2 linked regions of the Chlamydomonas reinhardtii genome follow. The protein of the gene in region 2 interacts with the protein of the main gene of each other region in a pairwise test. Links are inferred from orthologs where the notes say so. Each region holds a gene or a part of one and is shown on either strand. Other genes may lie near its edges.

What was found.
Region 1: the proteins of CHLRE_03g197350v5 (region 2) and CHLRE_17g697350v5 interact in binary tests that used the Arabidopsis thaliana proteins (3 or more experiments, as listed by UniProt). The link is inferred for Chlamydomonas reinhardtii from reciprocal best matches to the Arabidopsis thaliana genes CDC5 and MOS4.

The regions. Positions count from the first base shown.
Region 1 is NC_057020.1:167,158-181,331, reverse strand, and holds CHLRE_17g697350v5 (uncharacterized protein), read right to left. Parts: upstream 7,877-14,174; 5' UTR 7,787-7,876; coding exon 7,521-7,786; intron 7,327-7,520; coding exon 7,128-7,326; intron 6,862-7,127; coding exon 6,753-6,861; intron 6,349-6,752; coding exon 6,308-6,348; intron 6,071-6,307; coding exon 5,927-6,070; intron 5,405-5,926; coding exon 5,252-5,404; 3' UTR 4,775-5,251; downstream 1-4,774. Other genes in the region: CHLRE_17g697406v5 (uncharacterized protein), read left to right, coding at 58-91, 232-339, 536-1,956; CHLRE_17g697334v5 (uncharacterized protein), read left to right, coding at 8,137-8,405, 8,806-8,952, 9,278-9,338, 9,522-9,667, 9,941-10,088, 10,437-10,475, 10,620-10,697, 10,853-10,875 and 8 more. UniProt on the Arabidopsis thaliana protein: Component of the MAC complex that probably regulates defense responses through transcriptional control and thereby is essential for plant innate immunity. Involved in mRNA splicing.
Region 2 is NC_057006.1:6,668,045-6,682,418, forward strand, and holds CHLRE_03g197350v5 (uncharacterized protein), read right to left. Parts: upstream 8,982-14,374; 5' UTR 8,762-8,981; coding exon 8,720-8,761; intron 8,630-8,719; coding exon 8,526-8,629; intron 8,250-8,525; coding exon 8,081-8,249; intron 7,969-8,080; coding exon 7,799-7,968; intron 7,699-7,798; coding exon 7,524-7,698; intron 7,394-7,523; coding exon 7,340-7,393; intron 7,227-7,339; coding exon 7,032-7,226; intron 6,891-7,031; coding exon 6,654-6,890; intron 6,490-6,653; coding exon 5,947-6,489; intron 5,790-5,946; coding exon 5,605-5,789; intron 5,480-5,604; coding exon 5,368-5,479; intron 5,239-5,367; coding exon 5,077-5,238; intron 4,941-5,076; coding exon 4,587-4,940; 3' UTR 4,320-4,586; downstream 1-4,319. Other genes in the region: CHLRE_03g197300v5 (uncharacterized protein), read left to right, coding at 1-167, 311-403, 597-3,563; CHLRE_03g197400v5 (uncharacterized protein), read left to right, coding at 9,486-9,496, 9,647-9,887, 10,048-10,368, 10,484-10,777, 10,936-11,239, 11,420-11,594, 11,761-11,960, 12,126-12,283 and 2 more. UniProt on the Arabidopsis thaliana protein: Component of the MAC complex that probably regulates defense responses through transcriptional control and thereby is essential for plant innate immunity. Possesses a sequence specific DNA sequence 'CTCAGCG' binding activity.

The sequences.
Region 1 (14,174 bases), on a different chromosome or scaffold from region 2:
ATTGACGGAAAAAAGGCCCAAAGCCAGCCGTCCCCGAAGCTTCAGTCGGCCGCGACGATGTGCGCTGCGACATCGTCGCCGGCGCTGCCGGGTACGTGTTCTGCGCTAGTTTATTTGCGTGGCTTGTCCCTTGATATCATGCGGGCGGTCGACGGGCACAAGGGCGGCGCCCGCGCCTCGTTAACAAGTCATTTCTGAAAGCGTCGGCGCCTCCATATGCCGCCCCCACAGGTCTTGACCACCTCCACCCGTTCGTGGAGGACTGGCAGAACGCGGTGTCGTCTCTGCGGATTGCGGCCCACGCCCTGGCGGAGTCCGCCGCTCAGCAGGCATCTGCGGGTAAGCGAGTTTAGCCCGGGTGCGATCGTGCCTCCGATCCTTGCTAGTGACATGATGATTATAAATAGCCCCGTGTATCGGTTGGTCGACGCGCGCAGTAACGCGTCAGGCGCACTCGTTGGCAAACCTCTCCCTAACCCCCTCCCTGCACGGCTTCACCTCCCCTTCTTCCCGTTCCCCGCCTCCTCCTGCACAGGCGCTGGCGCAGCCGAATGCACTGCCTCTCCTGCCCCCCAGCCGCCGCTGCCTATGCCCCCGCTGCCGCTGCCGGCGCCGCTGGTGCTGCCGGCTGAGCAGCTGAAGCCGGGCCGCGTGTTCGTGGTGTCCAACCTGTCCGGAGCCTACTACACCCTGCTTGAGCTCCTGTCGCGACACAAGTTCGACTTCCGCACAGACAACCTCCTGCACGTTGGCAACCTGGTGGCGGCGCCGCAGGAGCCGCCAGCCGCCGGGGGCGGCGCCGCCGCTCCCGGCGGCGGCGGCGGCTGCCGCAACTCGGCTTCTGTGCTGAAGCTGATGCGGCGCCACTTTGCCCGCGGGCCTCTGGGTGCAAATGAGTGTCTGGCGCTGCTGGCGGCGGCGCGTGCCAACCGGCAGCGCGCGGAGGAGGAGCGGCGGGTGGTGGCGGTGCAGCAGGCGGCGGCCGCGGCGGCGGGCCTGCGCACCACCTCGGCTCTGTCGCTGTCGCTGCGCGCGCCGCCGTCGCCGGTGCCGGCGGCGCCAGCATCAGCGGCGGATGCGGATGCCGCCGGTGCCATTGCTGAGCCGACGCCCATGTCTGCCGTCGCATCTCAGGCCCGGGGGGCGGGCGTTGGCGCCGATGCGACGATGGCGATGGGCGGCGCCGGCACTGCGGCCAGCAGCGTGGCGGTGCCGTGCGGGCCCCGCCGGCCCCTGGCCGCGTCCCGCTGCTCGTTGTCTGACTCGGATTCCGATTCCGACTCAGACTCGGACTCGGACTCGGACAGCGGTGATGAGGACGAGGGCCAGGCCGGCAACGGCTCCTACCGCCGCGGCGGCGCGCAGCCCTCCACCTCCACCTGCTCCTACCCCGCGCCGCCCGCCTCTTCCTCCTGTTTCTCCTCTGCCTGCTCCGGCTCCTCCGCCTCCTCTGCTGCCGCCGCCGCTGCCGGCGGCCTGGACAACCTGGCCCTGGCGCAGCTGCTGTCGCTGCCGCACTGCGTGGTGCTGGCGGCGTACGGCGTGGCGCTCACACACGCCGGCCCCGCCGCCCCACACGAGGTCAGCTACCTGCAGCGCCTGCGCCACCCCCACCTGCTGGAGCCGCCGGCCCCGGGCGCAGCATCAGCAGCAGGTAATGGCGGTGAGCCGCGCTTCCACGTGATCTTCTCGCACCGCCGGCCGGGCGCGGCTGCGGCTGCCGCTGCCGCTGCCGCGGCGGCGGCCGGTGGCGCCGCCTCCGCCACTGGTCTGACGCTGTCTGGCCGCGGCGATGTGGTGCGGTGCGCGGTGCTGCCGCCGCTGCGGGCGCTGCTGCGGCGCTCGCCGGGCTTTGCTGGCAAGCTGGCTGCGGGTGTGGCGCCGAGCCGGTCCGACCTGATGATGGAGGTGGTGGAGGAGCCGCTGTCGGACCTGGACCGGCCGGCCCAGCAGTAGCAGTTGGCGTGGCGGTGGCAGCAGCAGCAGCAGCAGCAGCAGCAGCAGGGGCAGCGATTACAGCTGGAGAATAAGCACAAGCAGAAGCAACAGGGGCTGTAGCAGCTGCAGGTCAGGCAGGGGCAGGTGTAACCGGCGTAGGGATGTGCGGGAGCACTCTTGGGAGGACAGGGGCTGCTCCTACGCCGCCGCGGGGGCTCGCCGGCATGTGGAGGAGGAGGAGGAGGAGGAGGAGGAGGAGGAGGAGGAGGAGGAGGAGGAGGAGGAGGAGGACCACTGCTGCCATGGTAGAGGCGGCTGTGGGCAACCCTTCAACGGCCTTACGATAGCTTTCAGGTGTTTCTCGCTAAAAGGACATGCGTGTATCTGCGGAGCAGAGTCATTATTACTCATGTACGGAGTCATCGGTCACCGGGGCCGGTGCGCCACGCGCCGTGTTGGCGCTGTGGCCGCTGCACCCCGGGGCACCGGGGCACCGGCACACCTTCCTGGGTTGCTGGGCCTGGTGTTAACAGAGGGCGGGCGTTACCGCACGCGCCACCTTTGTGCGCGTTGCGTGCCTGCGCGTTTGCGCTTCCAGTGCGCTTTTTGTTCCCCTGTGCGGTGCACGTTTTTCACTCTTCCGTATGTTGCCATGCTTCAGAATAGTCTTAGGCTTAAACTTAGGCTTGGCGAAGGAGGATTGGGCTGGCCGGCGTTTCAATTCCGGATGCGGGTCCTGAAAGCGAGCGGACAGGCGTTTGCGCGCCTGGATGCCGCTTAACATTGATCTTAGGTTGACTACAAACCGTGACAACAGCAGTGTAGACGTGCGTGTACTTGGGGTAACTGTGTTTATTTCTGTCTATGTGCGTGTGCGTGTGCCATACTACTTAAATGACGACTGAACATTGCGGGGCGTGGGCTTGGATGAATTGCTTTAAGCACGGAGGCAAACCTCGCACAGATGAGCTTTCCGGGTGGGGCGCTGCGGCCGCTCCTGCGGCAAGCTGAGCTGTGCAGTGGGCTGTATCTGCTGGCAGCAGCTGGAGACAAGACAGGGGCAGACGGAGGTAGGCAGTAGGAGAGGCAGGTGGCACACATCGAGTGGGGGCCGGAGCAGACAACAGTTGAGCAGTGGGGCCCTCGACGGGTGGCAGGTAGGACACAAAGTGGCCCAGTTGCATGAGAGATCACATGATGCGGCAATTGGCCAAGTCGAGTTTAGTGCGGTGCAGTATAGCCGCCCTTAGGCGGGCAAGGCCCGCACACGACAACAGATGAAGTCCTAATGATGCTGCTGGGTCATACAGATCAGACTCTATTACTGACGAAGCGAATCAGGGCAGGGCAAAGGCCCTGAGAGGAAGTCTGAACGCCGATCGAGTTCATGACAAGTTGACACGCTCAGGAGTATTGACGTGATGGAATGGAGCTGTGTGAGGGGGCTGTGAAGCAGCCACATGAAGATTGTGGCGGCGTTACGGCGGCACAATAATTGCACAGCGCGCGCACCATGACATGTTGAGTGGAGTATGCGGGAACACTTTGCACGTGTGTGCATGTCCGCGCGTGTGAAGAATGCTTTGAGGCGGTCTGATCTGGGTCGGCGGCGCAGCCCAGGGCGCCTGCTGTGTGCTTATGTGCTCGTGTGCTCGTGTGATTACTAGAATGCTACAGATCACCAACTTAATACCCTCAGACAGGAACGTGACACGCACAAGTATAACTACCTCGCGATGCGGGCAGAAGTAGCAGACGAGCAGACGCCGTGTACTGTAGGCGCGTAATGGGTGCTGCCAGCCTCAGGTTAGGTTTTTATTGGTGCACGCCGGCACAGGATGAGCAGCAGGGCAGCCTGTGCAGGGGCTGGTGGATGTGTATGCGTGTGAGGGGCTGAGCGGTGTGGAGTGGCAGACGAGCTACAAGGTAGCGCGGACGCGTTTACACGCGGCTGTGCGAAGCCACCCTTGGCGCCCAGGAGCGCAGCCCTACGGGGGCGTGTGCTTGTATCTGTGTGTGCGACATGAATGACGGTTAAGTGGTGTCGCCGACGACATGTGGACGTTGAGGAGGAGGCAGGCGGGGCGTGCAGGCAGCAGGTCAGCGGAAGCCAGCGGCTGCGACGTGCAGCACGCGCTCGCTGTACCGCGTATCTGTGTTTGTGTGTGTGTGTGTGTGTGTGTGTGTGTGTGTGTGTGTGTGTGTGTGTGTGACTGGACGTGTGTGACTGCACGTGGGCGCCCCAGGGCCCCGCGACCGACAGGCGCGGCGACCGCGGCAGCGCTGTGCCTGACGCTGGGATCACCCCGTGACGTGCGCAGCACTGCAGCTGCTGCGGCACGGCAGGCGACCCTGTAACAATACGGTAACTACGGCAAGTCAAGCATCCCTCCACAACTCTACGCTACCGTGCAGTGTGACTGGCACGACGAAGCCCCCTACTCGCCCTGGTGCCGGCGGCGCGTTAGAGCGTAGTGAGTGCTGCCACCCTCACGTTGGGTCGGGGCACGCCGACACACGCGCGGAGGCCCTGGCGTGCGATATACTGAGACTGTCACGCGGGGCTGTCCGAGGCCGGCAGGGGCTCCCCGGCTTTTGGGGCTGAGCAACACCGCAGCGACCATTGCGCCGGCCGGGTTTCCGGACATACGACTACGCCACTACGGCAGGCTCGACCAGGTCCGACTGCGCCTAATGCTGAGGCCCTCCCCCCAGACCCCCCAGCCCGGCGGCAGTCCGATGCACGTGTATGTGCGCCATGTGCCCCGTGTGACCGGCTCTGGCCAGGGTGAGCAATCCAGATCCTTGTCAGCGGTGCACCAGGTATGCAACCCTCCAGAGTCCCACGTTACACGCTTCCTGTCACACTCGGCAACCGGGCACAGTCCCGAGCGCCCCGGCATGTACACCGCAACACTCAAGGCAGGCCAATTCGTGTGTGGTGCCTGCCTGTTTGCCGGCACCGGTACACACACAGGGCCCCCCTATCCTGAGGACGACGCCCCAAGCCGTGTAGCTCGCCCCACCGCCTGCAGCTGTGGCCTGGATGGACCCGCGGACCCACCCATGCGCCTCGGTGCGTGCCAACCACCCCAACCGCCGCCGCCTCTGTCTGAACATGTCGAAAGCGGCGTCGTGCGTGATGACCACCACCGAGCATCGAACGACAATGCCGCCCCACGCGTCGCCAGTGCATACCCAGCGGCCCCCTCCGCCTCAAGTCAACCGCCAAGCCTCAACGCTTCCATGCCGCCGCGCCCACAACCACACCCGGCCGCCCCTACAGCGCGGCACTGCACGTGTGTGCTCTCACTCACGACTCTGCCCCGGCCGCGTGTGTCCCGTTTGCTGCCGCGCCCTCGGCCGCCGCCGCGCCGTCCGCCATGTCCGTGTCGCCGCTGCCGTCAGCCGCCGCCGCGGGTTTGTCGGCGCCCGCCGCTTCCGCCTCCCCGGCCGCACCGGGGCCCTGCAGGCGCAGCCGTTGTGGGGGACCAAGCCGGGGGGGGGGGGGGGGTCAGCAGCTTGGCGCGTATGTACGTATGAGCATGTGGCGCACTGGGTGCACAGGCACACACAACACCCAGGTAGCACCGGGCCGGTAGGGTTGGGAAGGATGTGCACACAGCGCTTTGTGGACCCAGCACCCAGTACCCAGTGCGTGCGGACCTACCTCCGACTGCGGGCACTACATTACCCAGCCCCTGTCCCCCAGCCCCTGTCCCACAGCCCCTGTCCCACAGCTAGCCCCTGTCCCACAGCCCCTGTCCCACAGCCCCTGTCCCACAGCTCCTGTCCCACAGCTAGCCCCTGTCCCACAGCCCCTGTCCCACAGCTAGTCCCTGTGCTACAGCCCCTGTCCCACAGCCGCCCTGGCGCCACCTACATGGCCTGCCCCGCACCCTTCTGCCGGCCCCCAGCCCCCAGGCCCCATCGCCCCTCGTCATGTGTCAAAGTCCCGCACCCCCTGCCGCATCCCCTGCCGCCGCACCTGTTGCCCCTCCGCCGCCCCCGCCTCCGCCTCCGCCTCCGCCCCTGTGTCAGCCCGGATGTGTGTGTCCAGCTCCGCCTCCATGGCCGCCACCGCGTCCTCCAGCCGGTCGCAGGCGCGCTCAATGTCCGCGTTCTTGCGCACCTGGGGGGATTGATGGCAGGCCGGCAGGGCACGGGGGCTTTAGGCATATGGCTGGGCAATCAATGGGGGCGTCCAAGCCTACACGTGTGAGCATGGGCGGTGCTGGCCAGTCCCTGCCCGGCAGGGTTCGGCCCGCGGCCGACACGTCCCAGCACCACCTCAATGCACCGCCGCACCGCACCGCCCCCCCAGCTCCCCCCGCCCCCGCGCCCCCTCCCTCCAGCGCCGTCCCCGCACCTGGCTCAGGTACTGGCGCTCCAGCTTGGACAGCTCCGAACCTGAAGAGCATTGGGGGGCAAAGGGGGTTTGAGGGTGAGCGGACGAGCGAGTGGAGGGGGCCGCCGGCCGGCATTCGCCACGACCGCAAACCTTCCGGTCCGGCCTATCCACCCGCGCCCACGGCCCCTACCCGCGTCCTCCCCTGCCATGATGCGCCCGCGGTGCGGCCCTGCTGCCCTCTACTCTGCTGCACGCCCAGTACCGTGAGCACGCTCCCCCCGTTCCTAAGCTTGGTGACCAGCCTCTCCTCGCTTTCCCTGCTGACCATGCAATCCCCTTGCTCGACCCTACGCTCAGCTCCTGCATCTCTTGCCCCTCCTGCGCCCTCGCCCCTCCCTCCGGCATCCTCCCTCCCTCCCGCCCTCCCTCATCCTCCCTCCCTCCCTCTGCCATCTCGGCTCACCCGCGGCGTGCTGCTGCAGCTTGCGCTCGCGGTTGAGTCCGTCCGTCTCCTTGCGCAGCGCCGCCAGCTGCGCCTCCAGGCCCCGCACCGCGGCCTCGTCCAGAGCCACCTGCGGGGCAGCAGGGCGCCAAGCCGCCGGGAGGTGGGGTGGGTCAGGCAGGGGTGAATGCCGACAGTGCCGGCGTATCCAGGGATGGTGGCACCAGCTAGCTCTCTCCACCCCGCCCCGCGCCTACCCCTCTCTCCTCAGCCCTCCCCCTCCCTTCCCCTGCCCTTGCCCCTGTCCACGTCCCCCCTTAATCCGTTAACCGCACCCCTCCCTCCTTCCCCCTTCCCTTCCTCCGCAGCCACTCCGCCCCCTTTCCCCAGCCCCACCTGCGCCCTCCAGGCCTTGTCTCCATACTTGAGCAGCAGCTCCTGGTTGAGGATGCGCAGGTGCTGGTGCTCCAGCTGCGCCGCCGCGTTGTCCAGCGAGGACTTCCACGCGCCCACGTCGCCGCGGCGGGCCTGCGGCGGCGGCTCCAGCCGGTAGCGAACAGAATCCAGCGGCGCCATTGGCTCCTTGTTGCGCACACTGTGAAACACGGAGGCAGGGAAAGGGGGTTTGTGTGTGTGGGTGGTGAGTGGGAGGGGAGGAGCTGGACCGTGGCGGTGGCCCTCCACATCCCCCAGCCCGTCCCTTTCCTTCCGTAGCCTGGCTTGACCCGTCCCCGCCCCCGGGCCCGTCATCATCAGCCTGCAGAGCCTCCTCGCTGCCGAGCTGCTCACCGCTCGTACTCGGTCTTCAGGACCGGGTGGTCATCGAACTTTGGCGCGCGGACCGAGGGCATCTCGCGCAGGTAGTCGCTGGGGAGCTTTGTGCTTCTCCGCTTTTCCTCCTCTATGAGGGCCTCCACATGAGGTTTTAGCTCCGGCGGCACCGAGTCCACATAGGGCAGCGCGTCGACAAGGTGCTCATTCGCTCGCCAGCCCTTGGCGGCGCCATGGGCAGTATATTCTAGTGCTAGAGTTGCTTGTGACGTCTTGGCAGCCATGTTTAACAGAGCGTTCCTCGCCAAGCAGCTTGGGTCCGAGAAGCGATCGGTAGGTTCAAAGCACAGCCGAGGCGTTGGTCCTAGTAGGTCATTCTATCGATTGATGCAATAAGTCAGATAGCGGATTCAGCAAGTCCCGTTTTGCAAACCTGATGCATTGGGCTCGGGTGCTCATGACAACCCCTCTGGCCAAAACTTCCACAACACACGAAGCAAATCCTAATTGATATTGTGAGTGCTTCTTTCTTGGAAGGCATGGCTACCTAACGTCATTCACCAGCACTGCTAAACAGAAAAACCTATTTTGCCCGGACCTGCGCGCGTCGGGCTTACTAGGGCCGGTTCGGGAAATGGCATTGCTAGGTGGCAAGGTTGCTCAGCCAGGCGCACGATCATGCGCTGGGCGCTCACAGCGGCCGGTGGCGTCGTGTCACCAGTGGAGCGGTAGCAGCGGGTCGTGTCGCGCCAGGCGTGTTGCTGGCTTCGGGCCCGGCCTGGCGCCGGCGTCGCACCAGCCGCTGCCCGGTGGCCCCCTGGGTCGGCCCTCCTCGTCCTCCTCCTCGGTGCGGGTGCGCTCCGTGGATCCCAAGCACCCGGAGCGCCCTACCTTCGGCTTCGAGTGAGTGCGGGGGAGCGGCGGTGGCTAGCAGTGCGGGGGGAGAGGGGGCAGAGGCGGTGGCGGATGCGGTGGCGGAGGCAGCAAGCGGTGGCGATGGCAGGTAGCAGGAAAGGCCCGCCGCAGCCTCCTGTGTAGACAGTGCGGGCCGACAAGGCTGACAGCGTGCGCCTGTATTCTCAAGTCTCCCGACTACCGCAACCTGCATAAGCTTTCCCTGTACCCGTGAAGCCTTAGGGTTTAACCGCTACCTCCCACTGGTATGGCAGCGCTGCCCCCCGCCTCCCTTCTTCCTCCACTCCCCTTGCCTCGTCCCCCACTGACTCAAGCGAGCCCCATCCCTCCTCCTCCTCCTCCTCCTCCTCCCCCGCCTCCTCCTCCTCCTCCTTCCCCCCCTCCGCAGGCTGCTGGGCCCCAACTGGTCCAACCGCGCCAGCCTGAGCGAGGAGATGCTGGGGTCGCTGCTGGAGCTGCCCGGCACACGCGGCATGACCGACCTGAGGGCGCGCGCGGACGCACTGGCGGCATGGAAGATGGCGCTGCAGAGGGGGTGAGCAGGAGGCGGGGGGAGGGGATGGGGGATTGTAAGTATTAGCCCAAACTAAACAAAACACAATGGGAGTGGGGGAGGGCGTTCGGTGGTACTTGGAGGACGGGAGGGACAGTCCGTGCAGGATACGGAGGGGAGTTGCGCTTGCGCGGACACTCGTGGGCGTGTGCGAGACGGGCTGGCGCCGCAGCACCGGGTTGTCCTGACTGGTCCGCTCACACACCCGCACCCGCCTTTGAGGCGCGGCCCTGGAGGCCTGCTGCTGCTGCAGGGTTCTCACCCCCCGCCTAACCCCCCCCTCATGCACACGTGCCCACCCCCACAGCACGCTGCCCAAGATGGAGGAGCTGGAATGGCCGCAGGAGCCCTTTAGGAGCAAGTTCGCGGTGAGGGGCCACGGCGAGGGTCAGGGGGGGGGCGAGAAGAGGCAGGGGAAACCTATTCCCAAGGAACACGTTTACCCCACGCATCTGTTCCCGCGACCGACCAAACCCCCAAGCCCAACTCCAAGCCCAACGCCCCATGCGCTTGCACACGCTCTCCCCACCCACCCACCCGCCCGCCCACAGGACGCGCTACGCAACATGGAGATGCCGCGCTTCACGCGGCGCTACCCCGCCATCCTGGACACCCTCATAAAGCAGATGCTGGGGTTGGCGCGCGAGTTTGAGGAGAAGCTGGCGGCGGCGGAGCAGCAGCAGCAGCAGAAGCAGCAGTGAGTGTGCTAGGGATGGCAGAAGGGGGGGGGGGCAGGTGTGGTTCGGACAGCCTAGGGGGTGTGCTCCGGGCCAGCTCTGTGCTATGCCGGGCCGCTTGCGTCCTGCGTCCACCGTTCTAGGCGCCGTTATAGACACAAGGCATCGTCCTTGAACGTGTGTGCCTGTCGCTTAGTCCTGAGCGCCCCTCGGCACCCTTGCGATGTGTGCCGCGGCGCCCAATGGTGGTGGCTCATGTGTCCCTGATGCTGTGGCCGCTGTGGCATCTGCAGGCAGCAACAGAAGCAGCAGCAGCGCAGTCAGGGCAGTCAGAACCAGGAGCAGCAGGACCAGCAGCAGCAGAGCCAGGAGGCCAGTGCGGCGGGCGGCGGGGGCTCGGAGCAGCCGCAGCAGGGCGACGCGCCGCCGCCGGAGGAGATGGTGCGTGCGTGCATGTGTGTATGTGTGCGTGTGTGTGTGTGTGTGTGTGTGTGTGTGTGTGTGTGTGTGTGCGTGCGTGCGTGCGTGCGTGTGCTCAAAAAGGAATGGTGTGTGTGTGTGTGTGTGTGCAAACGTGCGCCGCGTGCTGCGTGCTGCGCATGAAGGGCTGCAGGGCAGGGAGCGGGTGGCAGTCGCAGGGTGACAACCCCTGGCCGCAATACGCGATGGAGCAGCTGGGCCTTACCTCGCTTCCGGGTGCCTTCACCCCCACCCGCCTGCCTGCCGCCTCCCCCACACGCCTGCCCCCTCCCGCCTGCTGCCTGCTGCCTCCCTCCCCTCACACGCCAGGAGATCAACGAGGAGGAGCTGCAGCAGATGATGCAGGAGGTGTGGGCGTGGGTGTGTGTGTATGGGCAGGGTGTGTGTGGGCGTTTGCCGTTGTGTGCATGCAAGAGGTGACTGTGTGTGCGCGAGCATGTGTGCGGGTGTGCGAACGCGCGTGTCCTTATCTGACCCCACTTCATCTCACAGGCAATGGAGCAGACCAAGAACGAGAGCAAGCAGCAGCAACAGCAGCAGCAGGGCAAGCAGCTGCAGATCAGCCTGCAGGTGAGCTGTGGGGGGAGGGGGCAGGGGGAGGGGGTATGTGGGCGTGCCTGACGCACTGGTTTCCACACGGCGCAAGGCCACCTGCTCTCAACCGCCTCACTGGCAGTGTGTCCACTCCATCGCCCCCACCACCGCGCATGCACAAACGCCCACAGGACATGGAGGGCGAGGCCAAGCAGTGAGTGTGTGTGCGGGGCAAAGGGTGTGTAGGGTGCAGGTGGGAGCTTGGGTTAGGCATTGCGCACTGGTGTGTTGGGGCGTGAAGGAGGACGTACGGACTTCTGGACCGCCTACCAGCTCGCCGCATCCTCACTGACCTTGCTTGACGTCCAATGGCTGCCCTACTCGTCGCCCCTACCGCCCGCCCCGCCCCCTTGCAGGCAGCAGAACTCGGAGTCTCAGCAGGCGCTGTCGGCCCAGCTGGAGGAGATTGCCGAGGACATTGTGAAGCAGTTCGAGGCGAAGATGGGCGAGGTGATGGACAACCTGGAGACGGGCGAGATGGCCTTTGACGACCTCAACTGTGAGAGGAAGGGAGAGGGAGAGGGAGGAAGGGCGTGTATTTGTGCACCCATGCAGCATATGCCACCACACGGCAATCTCCCCCCCAGCACACGGACTACTCACGGTGTCAACCCTCTCCCTTGGTGCTCCCCTCCTGCCCCCCACACACCCGCATCTGCGCCTGCAGCTCTGCTGGACAGCGCGGAGGGCTTCGACCTGTCGCGCGGCACCTGGCGCCGCAGCGGCTGGCGCGAGCTGGACGCGCTGAGGGAGGTGCTGGAGAAGGTGGGCGGGGGCGGGGGGTGGGTGCGGTGTGGGTTGTAAATACCAGCCCAAACTGGGGTGGTGACCCGTGAAGGCTCGAAATTCCCCGCACAATGACATAGGGCTGCAAAGCCAACATGTGCACAAGCGCGTATGATATGCATCCTTGACACACACATGCGCAGCACAGTCCACAATGCCCATGTACGCACACGCCCCCACACGCCCCCCTCCTGACTGCCCCCCCCCCCCAACACACACACACGCCCCCCCCCCTCCCCCTTCAGGTTCCTGAGCTTCGCGATTTGGTCCGGCAGCTAGGTCGCGGCGGCGGCAAGGGGCCGCTGCGGCGGGCGCCCGAGGAGCTGGAGGCGCGCGGCTACCCGCCCGGTGTCATCAGGTCGCCGCTGCAGCCCGAGGAGGTGAGGGGGTGGTGAGGGGGGAGGGGGGGCGTAGGCCAGGGGGAGGAGGGTTGGGGTTCGTTGGGTGTGCCGGAGGGCCGGTGGGGCTGGTGGCGCCGGTGGGGCTCTGGGGCTGTTGCATTCCTCCGGTGACACGTGGGTGGGAGCTGCCAGCCCCTGCCCCTGCCTTCGTGCCCCACCCAAATACAACAGCCACACGTCCCCCCCCCCTCATCCTTCCCACCCTGCCTGCGCTGCAGGTCCGCGGCCTGACCCGCTCCGGCGACCTGAGCCGCATGCTGCCCAGTGAGATGGCGCTGCTGGCGCACGGCTGGCCGCGCAGGGGCAGGCCGCAGACACAGCCCGCACCGGCAGGCGCGGGGCGGCAGCAGCAGCAGGCGGGCGCCTCCGGGTCCGGGTCCGGGTCCGGGTCCGGGTCCGGCACGCCACACGCGGCCGGGTCTGAGCCGCACATCCCCGCCTCCGCCTCCGTCAGCAGCGGCGAGTTCGACCTGGAGGTGAGCGGGGGGGGGGGCGGCGGGGGATATATGGCCGAAGAATAGATCCGAATGGTCATGCAATGGTCACCCGGCCCAAAACAGAGCCCCGCCTTCCCCTGTCACGGACCCTGACCCCCCACCCATACACACGAGAATCTCATAACCCCTCTCCCCTCCCCCCCAGGAGTACTACCTGCCTGGCGCGCACGCCGCACGCCGCCTGCACCGGGTGCGGCGCGCCGAGCGCATGCTGCTCAGCTACGACCGCACAGGTGGGGCCGTGGGCGTGGTGTGGGCGTGGGCGTGGGCGCCTGTAGTGTCTCTTATTCCCCCCCCCCGCCCCCGCGTCCCCTGCGCCTGTTTATCACCGCCGTCGGCATACTGTCCGTACCTGCAGTCCCCGCCCCTGGGCTCGGGCATGTAATCATGTCCCAGACCGCCTCACTACCTGCAACCCGCGCCACCCCACGCCTCCCCGTTCCCCCAGGCTGGCTGGAGGACGAGCCGGCCCGTGTGACCAGCCGCATGGAGATCCGGCCCGCCGCCGAGATGGGCCCCATCATCCTGTGCCTGGACACCTCGGGCTCCATGCGGGGAGCGCGCGAGACGGTGGCCAAGGCGCTGGCGCTGGAGTGCCTGCGCGGCGCGCACCGGCAGCGGCGGCAGTGCTACCTGTACGCCTTCTCCGGACCCAGTGAGTGGCGCGGGCCGCTGCGGGCGCGGAGGCGCACAGGGCAGCGAGCAAAGGGCAGGGAAGGACAGCATGGCAGTGGGGCGGGGCGGGGCGGCTGGTCCTGGGCAGGGCGTGATACTGGTGGTTCGACTGTGGGCAACCGACACGCTAGTACGACTTGTGTGTGTTGCCTGTAGGGCTCCAGCTTGCAGGCGCACACCTACCACCCGCTAACTACTTCCACCGGCTCCACCCGCCCTCCCCTCCCCCGCGCCCCGCCCCCCTCAGACGAGGTCCAGGAGTTGCAGCTGTCTGTGGACGTGGACAGCCTGGACCAGCTGCTGGCCTTCCTGTCCTGCAGCTTCATGGGCGGCACGGACGTGGACGCGCCGCTCAAGCTGTCGCTGGAGCGGCTGGCGAAGGCGGAGTGGGCGCAGGCGGACATCCTCATGGTCACGGACGGCGAGATACCCAACCCCGACGACAAGATCATACAGGTGGGGGCGCGGGTGGAGGGGGATGGAGCTGTGCTGGCCAGGCAGTCAGGGCGGGGCAGCGCGTCCACGCCCCCATGCGGTGTCCGCTCCTCCTGGCGCCCGCTCTGACCCGTGCACGCCACCTGGTGCCGCCCCTCCTGGCCCAGACCTCGTCCCTGCCCTCTAGGACAACCCGCCCCCCCCCTGCTGCTGCTGCTGCTGCTGCTGCTGCTGCTGCTGCTGCTGCTGCTGCTGCTGCTGCACCACAGGCCATCTCCCGCGCGCACGAGGAGATGGGGCTGGAGGTGCACGGGCTGCTGGTGTCCAGCCACGTGACGGAGGCCATGCGCAAGCTGTGCACGGACGTGCACGTGTTCAAGAGCTGGAGCGCGGTGCCGGGCGGCCAGGACTACATGTACTCGTGAGGGGGGGGGGCAGCAGGGCAAGGATGGAGGAGTGGGGCAGGGGGGGAGGTGGTGGTGACTGCGGTGGACGGTGGCGGCGATGCGGCGTGTGGCGGCGCGCGGTGAGCGGATGAGGGCTGAGCTGTGTGGCTACAGCGGCTCACAGGTGTGGGGCTGGGATTAGGCTTGAGGCAGGAGGGGGGCCACGGGCGCACATTTGATGGTGCGGCGTGAGGCGATGGCAGGCCGCGTGAA
Region 2 (14,374 bases):
GCTACAAGGTCATGTACGTCTTCTTCGCCGTTGGCAGCATCGCACTGGCCGCGGCCGGCATGGCCATGCTTCCGCGTGCCACTGACCGCGTGTCGGATTTGGCGGTGCGGCTAGACGCGGCTGGCGACTACGTTGGCGACTTGCTCACTGCCTCAGACAGCCTCATTGTGAGTGCACAGGATCAAGGACACTGTTCTTAAGGCAATATTGTACGGTGTGATGATGGCAAAGGTTGCGGGTAGGGGGATGGGTAGACGGTTGGTTGCTTGCAGGTGGCCGGTTATGACTGAGGCTGCCTATGCCCTCGCAGTCTGGCGGCGCGGGCCTGCGCCCCCTCATGTCCGGTGCGGCGGTGCTGCTCACCAACGGCCTGCCCACCACAAACCTAGCTGCGGATATGACGGTAAGTTGGCACGGAACCGGCAGTGACGAAAGGAGAAGCTGCTACCGGTACTTGCTGGACCCATGCATGTAGTTACTTGCTAGACCATGCATACAGTACTACCGTACTACCGTACCGTACTACCGTAACTCGACGGGCGCGTGCTCCTTTCAACCTTGTCCCTTGTTCCTGCTCCCTTCCTTGCGATCCGCAGTGCACCGGGGGCGTGCTGGACACTGCTCTTGCAGCACCCAGCCAGCCCTCTGACCTACGCGCGGCACTCCTGGCCGCAGACACTGCCCTACGCACTGCAGTGGGCCCCGCCCTGGCCGCTGCCACGGCGCTCCTAGACGCCACTGCCGGCAGCAGCACAGCCACCTCCGGCCTCATCGCGGCCACGCCTGCGCTCGCCGCAGTCGCGGCTGCACCCGCCCTCGTGTCCAATATTAGCTCCGGCCTCGCTGGCTACGACAGCGCCCTGGGGGCACTGCCCGCCACCCGCAGCCCGACCACCAGCAGCGATCCCCGCGTGTCAGATCTGCAGGCCGCGCAAGCGGCACTGGTCCTCAGCGCCTGGATCGACAACATCGACTACCTGTACGACAGCGTGCGTGTCGCCGCCGCCGCCGCCCGCCAGGTGCCGTACACCCGCCTGGCGGCGGCGCTGAGTGCACTGCGCGCCGCCGCCAACGCCACCAGCGCATCCCCACTGACGCCAGTGATGGCGGGTCTGGGCCGCCTGGATGTGGCGTATCTGGGCACCGCGCCGCAGCAGGCTGCCGGTGTCGTGACGGCGGGCCGCGCCTGCCTGGCCCGCCTGCGCACCCAGCTGGCGGCATTTGATGACGCCATCTTCAGTTTCAACTCGGGCACCCTGGAGCGCGCCGCCATGGATGCCGTGCCGGCGATCCAGGCGGCGCTGGAGTCCGTGTACGGCAACAGCAACGCCAGTGCTGTCGTGGCGGGCGGCAACGCCACTGCCGGCTCGCCGGCGGCCGTGGTCGCGCCCTCGTTGGCCTGGCCGCAGGCCGCGCTGTCCGCTCTGTCGCCTTTCGTGGGTATGGACGATATCGCGATCGCTGCGGCATGCGGCAACGTGCAGGCGGTGCTGTCCAATGTGACTAATGGCGGCGCCAACGGCACCAGCAGGTTGCCGGACGAGATGCCCACGCTGTCCTACCTCACCTCCCTACGCGCCGCGCTGGTGGCGCTGCAGACGCCGGCGGGAAATGTCTCCACTGCGCTGTCCACGTATGTTGGCGCGCGCACTGATGCCAATTATGACAGCCTGCGCACCACTGCCAACTCCACCCGCACCGGCGCAGTCGCGAGTGCCCGCTCTGCTGCCGGCGCCCCGGCGCCATCTGGTTACAGCAGCATTGTCACTTCAGCAGCCAACGCGACAAACATCATCGCCAGCTCCTCGCTCCAGGCCACTCTGGCGACGTTGGACGCCAACGCAACCTCTGCTATTGCATGGCTCACCGCCTCCACCTCCACCGCTCCCGCCACCTCCGGCATCGTGCACCTGAATGTCACGACCGCAGCGCTGGCAAGGCTGCAGAGCATTTTCACTGCCAACTCCGCCCGCCTCGCCGCCGTCAACTGGACTTCCACCACCTCCTCCAGCGCCAGCGCCAACGCCACCTCCGGCTACCTGCCCTCGGTCTTCCTGCAGCCGCTGGGACGCTCGCTCGCGCTGATTGGCTCCGTTATCTCCAACGGCCTGTCCGCCATCGGTGAGCAGCTGGACAACGCACTGGGCAAGGCGCTGCTGTCCCCTCCACCTCCTTCCACGCCTGGTGCGTTTCCCTCGCCGTCTTCCTCCAACGCCAGCTCCACTGGCTACCATCGCCGTGCCATGCTGGCAAGCAGCAGCACCGGCACCGCCACAACCTCGGCCCTCAACGCCACGGCTCAGGTCAGGCAGCAGCTGGTGAACCGCCTGCAGAACATCACCGACAAGCTGACTGGCGCCGACTCCAAACAGTACACAAACGGCGCCTACTGGGGCCCCATCGCCATTTACGCCGCCGTCATCGCAACCTGCCTGCTGCTGGGCCTTGCAGTCTTCCTGAACTGGCCCGGCGGCCTGGTAGTCCTCTTCATGATCCACCTCTTTGTCTCCGGCGTCGTGCTGGCGGCGGCGTGGGGCGGCGCGGCGAGCCTCGTGGTGGCACACGACACGTGCGGCAGCGCTGACGCCATTGTGCTGTCGGAGGTGTCGCCCAACTCGGCGCTGTTCCCGCTGGTGCGCTACTACTTGCAGGGCGTAGGTGGCTCGCTGCCGGCGGTGCTGCGCGCCTCCGGCCTGGGCGACACCTCTCGCCTGTCTGCCGCCGCGGCGCTGCTGCAGACGCAGGTGCTGGACCCGCTGCTGCTGCCGGCCGACCCCTCGGCTGCGGCCAACGCCACCAACACGTCATCGTCCGCGACCACGCAGTGGCCGGGCAGCCTGGGCAGCGTGCAGTACGGGCTCGGCGGCCTGCTGGCTGACTTGTCAATGGCGGCTGCGGACATGTCAGCCCACCTGTCCGACCTGCTGACTCTGGGTGAGCGCGCCGCCGTGCTCAATGTCTATTACGGCGTCACCAGCTGGGCCTGCTGTGGCCTGGCGAGTGATGTCATGATTCAGTGGGTTACCGCAACCGGCAGCGGCGTGCTTGCGTGGGCCGCGGCACTGGTGGCTCTGCTCATCCTGAAGAACCTGGACGACATGCCCGGTGGCGGCGGCGTGTGTGGCTGCACATGCTACCGCATGAAGGACTTCCCCCGCCCCGTTAAGGGCCGCCGCGCCGGTGCCAGCAGCGGCGGCGGAGCCACCGCCACTGCCGCTCCTGCCGCTGTTGCCTACGGTGCGGATGTGGAGCGTGGCAAGGGCGCACCATACATGGCGCCTGCGCCCATGATGACGACGCCCCAGACCAAGGGCAAGGAGGTAACGGTCGAGAACGGCCTCTTCCATGGGCCGCCGCCGCCTTCGGAACCACCGATGACGATAGTGCTGGGCGACGGTACCGCTGCGACGGGCGGCCACCGCCCGTCCATCAATGTGTGTGTGATGGACCCGGAGACGGCGGCCGCATTCGGGTTGAACGCCACCTCGGATGGCGGCGCATCCTCTGCGCCATCCGCGCCTTCTGCACCGCTTCTACCTCCGCCCAACGGCAGTGGGCGGTGATACATGCATCACAGTAGCTCTAGTAAAGAAGCATGGAACGTAATTGGTAACGCTTAAGGTTTTGGGGCGAGGTGATGTACAGCAAGCAGGGGTGTAAGAATGGAGGTACAGTAGCCGCTGGCCGCTGCAACATGCGGCCAAACTAACCACATGCCCCATCAAGGACTGTCGGCCTATGGGCCGATCAGCTTTCACAAAGGTGCACTCGGACCAGGAACTTGGGATCAACAGGGTCAGGCAGGGTGGAAGTGGTAATAGGCAATATTGCAGCGATGTGCGCCGTGAACACCGCCGACAAGGTAGGATAAAGTTGAGTGTCGAGCGGCTGGCACGAAGATGGGCGACTTGGGGATGCACATGGTGCTGGGGGCACGTGGCGGGAGTGGGTGCGGGCTTGCGGCGGGGCTGTCCCGTGTGCTGTGTGCACTTGCACGTGGACTCAGGCGACCCCAGGCTGCGGCTGCCCGTTGTGGGGGCGTGCGGTTGGCGGGGCACGCGCATGAAAGAGGTTGTGCGGCTCTTTTGTCCGCGTGCATGGGGGCGGTGCAAATGGTTGGTATGTTGTGTGGCCCGGGTCAGGTGACGGATGAGCGTTGTAAGTGCAGGTGGCAGGACGCGAGCCTCCTCGGACTTAACACTTCCGTAGCACGATTGGAATGAGACCACTCCGACTGTTCGCGGGTTTCAGTTGTTTACGTGACGCATCAGTAGGCTGTACTGCTGAACAACATGTTGACGCATGTGCCCTCTTGCTTCTCGCTCGGCCATTTACAGGACACTCCAGCATGCACAGGGCGCACCTTGCATGTCCTAGTAGTCCAACTGCCCGTACCCCGCCGAACGCATTGCCGTCAGCACTCAGGCGAGCATACACCAGGCCACATTGCCACAACAGCCTTCCAAGCTGCATTCCTTAACACGCACCCGCAACCGGCTGCTCTATGGCGCACGCCCACCAAACCAAAATGCCCACTCTCGCCATACCGCCCGACACCCCACCGCCCGCTATCACGCGCCCGTGCCTCACGACGCCGCCGCCCGCTTCTGCGCTAGTGCCGCCGCCAGCTCGTCCCGGCGCCTGGTGAGCGCCTTGAAGCGCTCCTGCAGGTCCACCTCGCGCCGCTTGGTAGCGTCCACCAGCTCGCCCAGCGCCTCCAGACGCTCGGGCGCGGCGCGCAACTCGCGCTCGTGCAGCGCCTTGAAGCACACCAACTCCTGAGCTGCGTCGCGCACCTGCGCCCACAGCTCGCCCACGCGGCCTGTCAGATCGCCATGGCGCCGCTGCAGGCCACCAAGCAGCAGGCCCAGCTTGCCCTCCAGCTTAGCCGCCTTCTTGGCCTCGCGCTCCATGTCGGCGCGCACGTTGTCGAACTCCGACTGCAAGACGTGAAGGGTCGCACGGGAGTTAGCGCGCGCTGCGTGATAACTGATAAGCTGGCTTGCCTGAGAGGTTCAGGAACGTGGGAAAACCGCCGCTACTTTGCCCATCTTCTGACGCCTTCCCTGGCCCCACCTTTAGCGAGTCGATGCGGTCCACGTTGGTGGCGCTGGCGGCGCGCTCGTAGCGCTGGCGCGATGGCAGGTAGATGAGGTCGCGGTGCACGCTCATCCACACCTCGCTGTAGTCGTCCGGGCTCAGCTTGGCATGGTCCCAGGCGCTGCGAAGGTAAGCCACCTGTGTCCAGGCGCGATGATGAAGGAATGCATATATCAGGGTCTGGTAGCGCTTGTCTCTTCAGGGGATTTAAGATTGCCAAGCTAGCCCCATCCACATAACGCTTCCAACCGACTGCACCACACTCACCTCCCTGTCCACCAGCTCAGCCGCCGACTGCAACGCCTCCAGCTCAAACTCCTCCAGCACCGGCACCGGGCCCGGAGCCGCATGCTGCTGCTTGCCCTTCTTGCGGGCGTCCCTGCACAAACAGACACCACAGCAGCCGCCACCGTTGCCAAACAGTTGGCGGCAGCACCATGGCAGATTCAGCAGTGCCCCCTGCTGGCGGCATCAACACCAAGACACAAGGCCCCAGCCACGCACCGGCCATCCTTGACTGGGTACTTGGCAGCGTCGTGCTGCAGCAGTCCGCGCATCTCAGCCGCCACCAGCTCCTCAGCCCGGTCCCGCAGCTGCTCCGCGCTAGCGCCCGCAGTGCTGGGCGCCGCCGGCTTGGGGGCCGGCAGCGAGTCCAGGTTGAGCGGGCGGGGCAGCTGCCGCTGCAGAGCCTGTGAGCGCAGGGGCCGCAACCAAGTGCCATTAGGTAATGCGAATTACAACTGGGCCCGTCTTCATCTTCCTGCCTGCTCCAAGCACCCCAGCACTTCACTCTCGTGGGAATGGTGGAAACAACCCCGCCATAACCAGCTCGAACCCAGCGCGCACCTTGCTCTTCTTGAGCTCCTCAATGCGGCGGCGCTCTGCCTCCTCCCGTGCTTTGCGCGCCCGCACGTCCGCCAGGTCCTCCTCCATGGCGTCCTCCGCCTCCTCCTCCGCCTCAGGCAGCTCAGGCACCTCGAACGCGTACTCATTCTGCGGCGTCGGAAGCCCCGCCAGCCGCTCCCGCAGCTCGCCGCGCATCACCGCTGCCCGCGCCGCCGCCGCGCGCTTGCTCATCGCTGCCTCCATCGTCAGCGCGTCCGCCTCATTGAGGCCCAGCGCGTCGCGAATGAGCGGCGTGGCGCCGGGGCCCACACCACCGCTACCCGCCCGCAGTGGCGTGCCAGCGACGGAGGGCGTGGCGGAGACGCCAGCGATGGAAGGCACGACACGCGCGCCGGTGGCGCCGCCAGCGCCGCGCACAGAGGGCGTCATTCCGGCGAGTGGGTTGGGCGTGGCGGCAACCACGTTGCGCGGCGTCACACCAGCAAAGTCCATAGCCGCCACGTCCACACCCGCCTCTCCACCCTCCAGCACCGTGCCCATGCCCTGCGGACACACATCTTGGAAGGTAAGCGGCCAGCGACAGCCGACACTTGACCACATGGGAAAGCACTGACAAACCCTTGCTGCCCCCGGGGTAACTTCAATGCAAGTCACGAGCCGCGGGCGCTACTTCCCAGCGGCGTGCCATGGCACGATGCCCTGCCCACCTGCAGCCTGGCCAATGCCGCCGCCTCGGCCATGATACGGTCGCTGCCACCAGGGCCCGCGCGCGGCGTGCGCATGGGCGTGGCGCCCGGCCCCATGCCCAGCCGCGCCGCCGGCGTCTGGTTGTACTGACCCAGCAGCGTGCGCGTGGCGTCGCCGCCTGCGCCCTCCGACACACTGGCCTCCAGAGCTCCGTCCACGCCCAGGCGGGCGATCTGCTCCAGCTCCGCCTCGCTCACCTGCGGCGAGTTAGTTCCAAGTTGGTCACTCCAGGGGCCTTTGCACCTTATCATCCTAGGGGGCTTGAGGTGATTGCAGCCAGCGACTGCAAGTATCGAAGCCACTACGCCTCAAGCCGCCACCCGCAGCTGTGCACGCACCTGCGGCGCGGGCAGCATGAGCTTGCCGCGGCGGCGCGGCCCCTCCTGGTCCAGCCCCATGTGCTTGGCCACGGCATTCGGCGCGTCATGCATCTCGTTGATCTTCTGTCGCTTGACGTCCTTCTTGATCAGCGCCTCCTCAATGTCCTTCCGCCGCCGCCCCTCCAGCTCTTCCACCGTCACAGGGCGGAACTCCTGTTAACACCGAGAGCAAACAGGGTGTCACGGACCGTCCTTTCGGTGCACCGCCCGGAAAGTATCATTGGCTTTGCTCCCGCAAGGAATGTGCGCGCTGCCGGTCTCCTTACTTGCTGCATGGAGCGAGTGGTCTTCTCCTCATCCGCAGTCGAGTAAAAGCCGGCCTGCGGGGCACACAGCGAAAGGGGCCACGCGTGTTAGGCCACCGTACCAGCAACTGCACACATGGCAGGGCAACCGCCAACCTAGCATACCGCCGCTCCGCCGCGCCCTGAACGGCTCAGCCATGCCCACCTGCGGCTTGAGCTCGAAGGCGACCTCGCTGCTGTAGTCCACGGCGCGCGAGTTCTTGTTCCGGGCGCGCACGTCAATGCCCGCCGCCTTCAGCTCGCGCTTTTTCTGCAGCTGCGCCAAGCGCCGCGCCTCCTCCAGCTGCTTTTCACGAGCCTTGCGCTTGGCCTTCTTACCACTGCGCACGTGGCAATGCAAGTTGTATACAATGTCAGCTCAGGTGCTGGTGCTGCCACCATCATGCTAGCATCACACCCTTGGCACCTACGCCCGCGCACCGTGTGTTGGCCAGACGCGCGCGTGCCTCGCTGAGCATCTCCTTCTCGTCCTCGTCCATGTCCACCGCGTCGGGGCGCGCGGGCTTGGCCTCGGGGTTGGGGTCAATCTCACCCGGCCGCAGCCGCCGCGGGTCATCACGCGGATCGTAGTTGACGTCCTTGGCGACGGCCTGGATGGGTGGGCGATTGGGTGGGTGGGATCCTGTTCCATTTTCCGCATCCCGGCTCCCCAATCCCCACCCCCACCCTCGCCATGGCCACCCCAGCATCTCGGCTCCTCACCTGGTCCAGCAGACGCTCGTATCGGTCCAGGCACTGCGCGGGCGTGCGGCCCACGATGGGCGCGATGGTGCGCCACTGGCACGGCATCAGCTTTGCCAGATGCAGCAGCTTCTCATCCTCCTCGCGCGTCCACTCCGTCTTCTTGATGGCCGGGTCCAGCCACTCGTACCTACGGCGCAGACGTGCGATGCCGCGTGAAGCTAGGTCCGTCATACAGCCGTGCAGCCGATGTGACAGGCTGTGCATGCCCTGTCGACACGGCGGGTGGACCCCACCCTGCACCCGCCCGCATCTACCCCTGCTTGCGTGTAGCCCTGTCCGCCGGAGTGGGTACTTTCTAGTCCCGTTCTACCAAAGCAGCAGCCATCGGTGGGATAACCCGTTGGCAACGCCGTAGCCTGCCGCTCAGCAACCCCGCCCCGTAGCCCGCCGCGCCTGTGCTCACCAGCGTGCTTTGCACTGCTTGGCAGACTTCCGCACCAGCAGCGACGAAATACGGGCCCACTGGTTGAGCCCATACTTCATCACTGCCGCCTTGAGGATTTCATCCTACATGCAGCAGCACAGAAGCAGAGTTCGAGCTCGCCTCCACCCACGGAAGATGTCCTCGCTAAAGACCGCACTGCGCCGTGTGCGCACCTCGGTGTTTTTCCAAACACCGCCCTTGATCATAATCCTCATGGCAGCTGTCTGTTACTATAAAAGCCCGGCGGGCGCGCGAGATGAGCCGGCTCGGCTCACAACGAGGCCCTATAGGCCGTCTCCTATCGGCCCTGCTGGCCGTGTGTGTTAAACGATCAGCAGGGCCTCAAGTTGCGGTCAAAGGTGCGTCGTCGGGGCGAGGATCCCAGCGCTGTCGTGAGAACTCGTAAGTCAGGGGTGCAGCAGACTGAAAGCAAAGTAGCTTATTGCTTTGGTTCAAAGTACATGAAGATGGGGCACAACCGGCGATTTCCGAGGCGCTGCATGGGACTCGGCCAATTCGCTCGGACCAACTAGGCACCAGAAGCTCTCTGCACTGCTTGTTTACCGGTACCATTGATTACATTCAGGACCAAACAAACTTGGGCGAACTGTAAGTGGAAAACATTTAGGACCGAGCCTAATTTCCCAGCTAGCGTCAATTAATGTCTTGTTATACTCGAAGCGCATTAATTATGAGGTAGGCAGGGCCGGAGCGTTTACTGGCGCTCCCGCTCCGTCTCGAACGTGCACGCCAACGCTCGCACTACAATAGCTCAACTGTGAGAAACATATCTCCATGAAGTTACAGTGGAGGGGGGCGACCCGCCTGGTCGCAACACTCCTCATCTTCGTGGCGGGGACAAACTGCAAGCTCGCAAGTGCAAAGGCCAGCAAGCCAGCGGACGCCCAGCCAGCGGCATCGGAGCTTTATGAGAGGGCTATGGCGATCAGGTGGGTGGCGAAGGGGCACGGGTTTGCACAAGGGACACGATCTCCACACACATTGCCACGGGCGTGTTTTGTCACCCACCTGCAGCCAGACCCTTCAGGTCTTGTTGTGTGGCGTGCCACGTGGCCGACTATGCCCATACTCTACTGCAGATCTAAGCGCGAGCTTACTTGGGGCGAGCAGCAGAAGGCTGCCGAGTACCTGGTTACCGCAGCAGGCTTCAGCAGCACCTCCCACGGCCGGGCATTCCCGTTCAACGGGACAGCCGATGCGGCCCGCCGCGGTGCGGCAACAGCGCCCGATGGGCTGCAGCTGCCGGGCTATGGTGGATCTGTGAACATTTCTCACACCGCACACCGCGGAGCAGTTAGGGAGCTTGCCAAGGCGTTTCTGGTAGGTGCGGGCTCCAGCGCCCCTTCGACTACCGTAGTTTCAGTGTTCGCCCTGCCAGTTGCCGCCGTCCGGGCGCCCACCACGCACCCGCTTGACACCGACCCGCTCCATGCGGCTTGCAAGCAACTTTGCACCCTAAAGCTCTTGCATTATTCTGCAGGACGGCTCTGGCGTTTCCCAGGACATGCGCCTGGCGCTGGAGCTGTTCCGCAACGCGGCGGAGGCGGGCGACGCGGAGGCACAGGGCCACATGGGGCTGTGCTACAGCATGGGCCTGGACTCGCCCGACTGCTGGACCGCGGACGGCATCGTGCGCTTCGGGCCTCCCAAGCCCGCGGAGGCGCTGTTACACTACTATTTCGGGGCCGCGGGCGGCGACATGACCAGCCGCATGGCCATGGGCTACCGCCACCTGACAGGGCTGGGCGTGCCACGCTCCTGCTGGAGTGCCGCGTCATACTACCAGCCCGTGGGCGAAAAGGTAAGGGGTACACGCGTGGGGTTGGCCAGGGTTTGGCTTGGGTGAGCGCTAGGACGGAATGCGAGCTGTATTGAGAAGCAGCTGCAACCTGATCTTGGTTGGTGTGCGTCCGCAGGTGAGCGACCTGGCGGCGGCGACCATGCCGCCGCCGACGACTCTGGAGGACGACGAGCCGGCCGACGATAGCAGCAGCGGCGCCAGCGGCGGCACCAGCAGCAGCGCCGCAGATGACTCCATCGCGCCGGAGCTGGCACCGCCCTCCGGGAGCCTGCCACACGTGGAGCGCATCCGGCTGCACCTGCAGGCGGCGCAGGGCGGCCTGCGCAGTGAGCGGCATCGAGAGGTGGTGCAGTACTACCAGTACAGCGCGGACCGCGGCAACACCGAGGCGCAGACGGCGGTGGGGCAGGTGAGCGGATTGAGGTGCCGGGTGCGCAATGCGACCTCTGTACGAGGAAGCGTACGGTACGTCGTAATGTGATGGGAGCGCGTGATTTCGCATACTTAGTTCGGTATCCACCCCTTCCTTTTTCTCCATGGCGTCAAATTCATCCGCCCGCTCTCCAGGTGCTCAACTACGGCACGCACGGCGTGGACCGCGACCACGGCGCCGCGCTGGCATACTTCAAACTGGCGGCGGCGGCTGGCGACGTGGACGCCATGGCGCACCTGGGCGCAATGTTTGCCAACGGCTATGGCACGCGGCGCAGCTACGAGCAAGCGGTGGACTGGTGGACGCGCGCGGCGCGGCGCAACAACGCCAACGCGCTGTTTGGGCTGGGCTACCTGTACCTGACGGCGCGGGGCGTGAGCCAGGACTATGACCGCGCCTTCCAGTACTTCAGCAAGGCAGCGGAGCAGGTGCACGCAGGTGCGGAGCGGGAGGCGGCAGCAGGCGGCTGGTGTCATGGGCTGTGGCAGGAACACGGGTGGGCGCGTTGGGCTGCCGACGTTTGAAGAGATACGCTTAAAGTATGCTTTGCCGGCGTGGCGCACAACGGTGTGGACCCCTCGCGCCCGCTCGCTGCTTGCATCCCCCTGCGCCCGACAGAGGCCCGGCCCGACGCTCTGTTCTACATGGGTGTGATGCACCTCAAGGGATACGGGGTGCGGCGCAAGAGTGTGCAGCGCGCTCTGTCGTACTTCACATTGGCGGCGCACGCCGGCCACAGCCTGGCGCAGTACAACGCCGCCATGATGCACCTGGCGGGCAAGGGCACACCACGGTGAGGAGCAGCCCCAGGAGAGGTGTACCATGCACGGCTTTTGCGGGAAGGAATGACGCGACGGTGTACTGAAGAGCTTCCTGAGCGGTTGCGGGATCAGGAGCTCCATGCTGGTCTGCATGAGTCCACATAGATGCTGGTTGCTTGTCCATCCACCCCCCTGCAGCAACTGCAAGCCTGCCGTGAGCTTGCTGAAGGCGCTGTCGGAGCGCGGCCCAGCCGCCTCCTCCGTGCAGCAGGGTCATGAGCACTTCTTCCGCGGCCGCTACGGCCTGGCGCTCCTCAGCTACCTGCGTGCCGCCGACCTCGGGATGGAAGTGGCACAGAGCAACGCCGCGTGGATGCTGGAGCGAGGATATGCGCCGGGTGAGGCGGGCTCCTGCTGCCAGCCTGCCACCGTCGTGCTCCGGGCGTTGGACGACTGGGTGCACTTGCATGCCAGTCCTACAGGGGTACTTCGGGTGGTTGCAAAGTGCTAGCCATCCGCACTGAGGCGCCACTTGGCAACCTAATCCCCCCTACCCCATGCAGGCCTGGGCGCCTCCGAGCTGGCCTTCTCGCTGTACAAGCAGTCGGCGGCGCAGTCCAATGTGCACAGCCTGCTGTGCATGGGCGACTCGTACTTCTACGGCCGCGGGGTGGAGCAGGACTGGGTGCGGTCGGCGGCGCTGTACTACGAGGCGTACCAGGTGCGGACCTGGAAGCGCTGCGCCGTTTTACGGCGTCCGCATGTTACGTCACTGGCTCATGCGTACCGCATTGACACCCACCCCACCGTTCCTCCCCGTTTCCTCCACAGGAGCGCTCGGCTGAGGCCATGTTCAACCTGGGCTTCATGCACGAATTTGGCGTTGGCGTGCCGCAGGACCTGCAGCTAGCCAAGCGCTTCTACAACATGGCCAAGCACACGCAGGTGCGCTACCACCCGGCTTGAGGTTGTCAATCGAGGCATGAGTCTGGTGGATAGATGGCCCACATGCTCGCGGTCTGTCGCCCACCAGAGCCGAACTGATGTGCACAACCTCTTGCGCAAGTGCACAGACGCTAGCATACGCGTTACTGCCGTTTGCTGTCTCTACTTGTCCGCAGGCGGACGCGTTCCTGCCTGTGGCGCTGGCCAATGCCTGGCTGCAGCTGCACGCCTGGTGGGACAAGCTGCGTCCGCTCCTGCCCTCCACGCCCTTCTTGGACCCCATTTGGAACTCCGTCTTCGCGCTGCACCCGCCGCACACGAGCCTCTTTGGGCCTTGGGTGGCGCGCGCGCAGCGGCTGCTGCCAAACCTGGCCCTGTTCCAAGCTGAGGTAGCGTTCTGGCGCTGGATGGACGTGGCTGGTCTGGGTGCATTGGGTGGGGTGCTGCAGCTAGGGGATGCAGGCGAGAGCGTGATGCTGCTGGCGCTGCTGGGCGGTCTGGCGCTGGTGGTGAGGCTGCGGCGGCGGCGCGCCGAGGCGCGGCAGCAGCAGCAGGATGCGGCGCGTCTGCTGCTGGCGGCGGAGGCGCAGGCGCAGGCTATGGTAGCAGCGGTAATGGCGGGAGGACTGGGGGTGGAGCCCGGGCGTCCGGTGCCAACTGCGGCGGGCGCGCCAGCGGCGGCGCGCGGCCAGCAGCCGCCGGCTGGAGAAGTGGCGGCTGGAGAAGTGGCGGCACAGGCGGTAGGTAGCACGGCGGCTGGAGCTGCGGGCACAGCGTACGGTGCGGCGGCTGCAGAGCCGGCGCAGGACGGCAGCGGTGCTGCCGGCGCTGCGCACTAGAGTCTCATGCTTGTCTTTATTTGGCTGGTTATCAGCGTTGCAAGAGCAACCTCGGTTTAGGCAGGCACGCAAGTTTCGGCGGGATTATTGTGTGGAATCCTTGGCGCCCCCCTCAAGCCTTGCGCTTGTACCATACTGGCGCAAACAAGCCCAAGAAGCGGCGCAAGCGCGCAGGCTGAGGAGCCGGCTGGTGTCTAGGTAGCGGTCCGCGGTGGGGCTGGCAGGGCATGCGTAGCGGCATGACAAGTAGTGCGGCTGTTGACAACTGTGCTGCGTCTGGCTGCGGTTGGCTCTGCCGTGGCATCGCGATTGCTAGGCACCTGGTTTGGCTATGTGCCTGTGGAAACCGACCCCGGCTATGTCCGGGCGATGAGGTTGTTCGGCCTCAGACTGTGGAGGGGCTCAGCCCCTTTTCCCGTGACCGGGGAACACTTGTTGTGGGGAAGCGTGAACTTGGCTCGTTGATAGCCTCAGTCACCCCTAGGCCCTAACTTGATTCTTGCGTGTCACCCACCGTGCCATCACCCTAGAGTAGAGGCTCGAGTGTCTGAACACTTGCGGAACAGCAGGATGCGTGACGCTTACAGTTACAGGTCAGCGGCATGATTATGGACATAGCGTGTCAGGGCAAGAGTCGCAGAGTGGGTACGGTGCGTGCCAGGGGTTGCCTTTGCTACCGGTAGGTGCGTAAGGTTACGGTATCCTTTTTGTCTCCACGGTGGATGGCGGGAGGCCGGGAGTGCTGGGTCCTAGGCTAGGGGGAGACGGAAATGGACACGAGAGGAGGGGCACAGGCGAGGCGGCAGTGCGGCACTGGTCGGGAGCGGCTATGAGCAGCGATGCGCACACCGGGCGCATATTTAGGGCTTTCATGCATCGCAGACAGCGCGACATTATGACGGGGAAGGAAGTATACCAGGGAAGGTGTGGGGGAGGGAAAACCGGATGACTCTTCGTCGGGTCAGAACCGAGCTGCGTCGGGGTGCGGGGCTGCGGGCACAAGGTGCAGGTGTCCTGTGCGATTCATC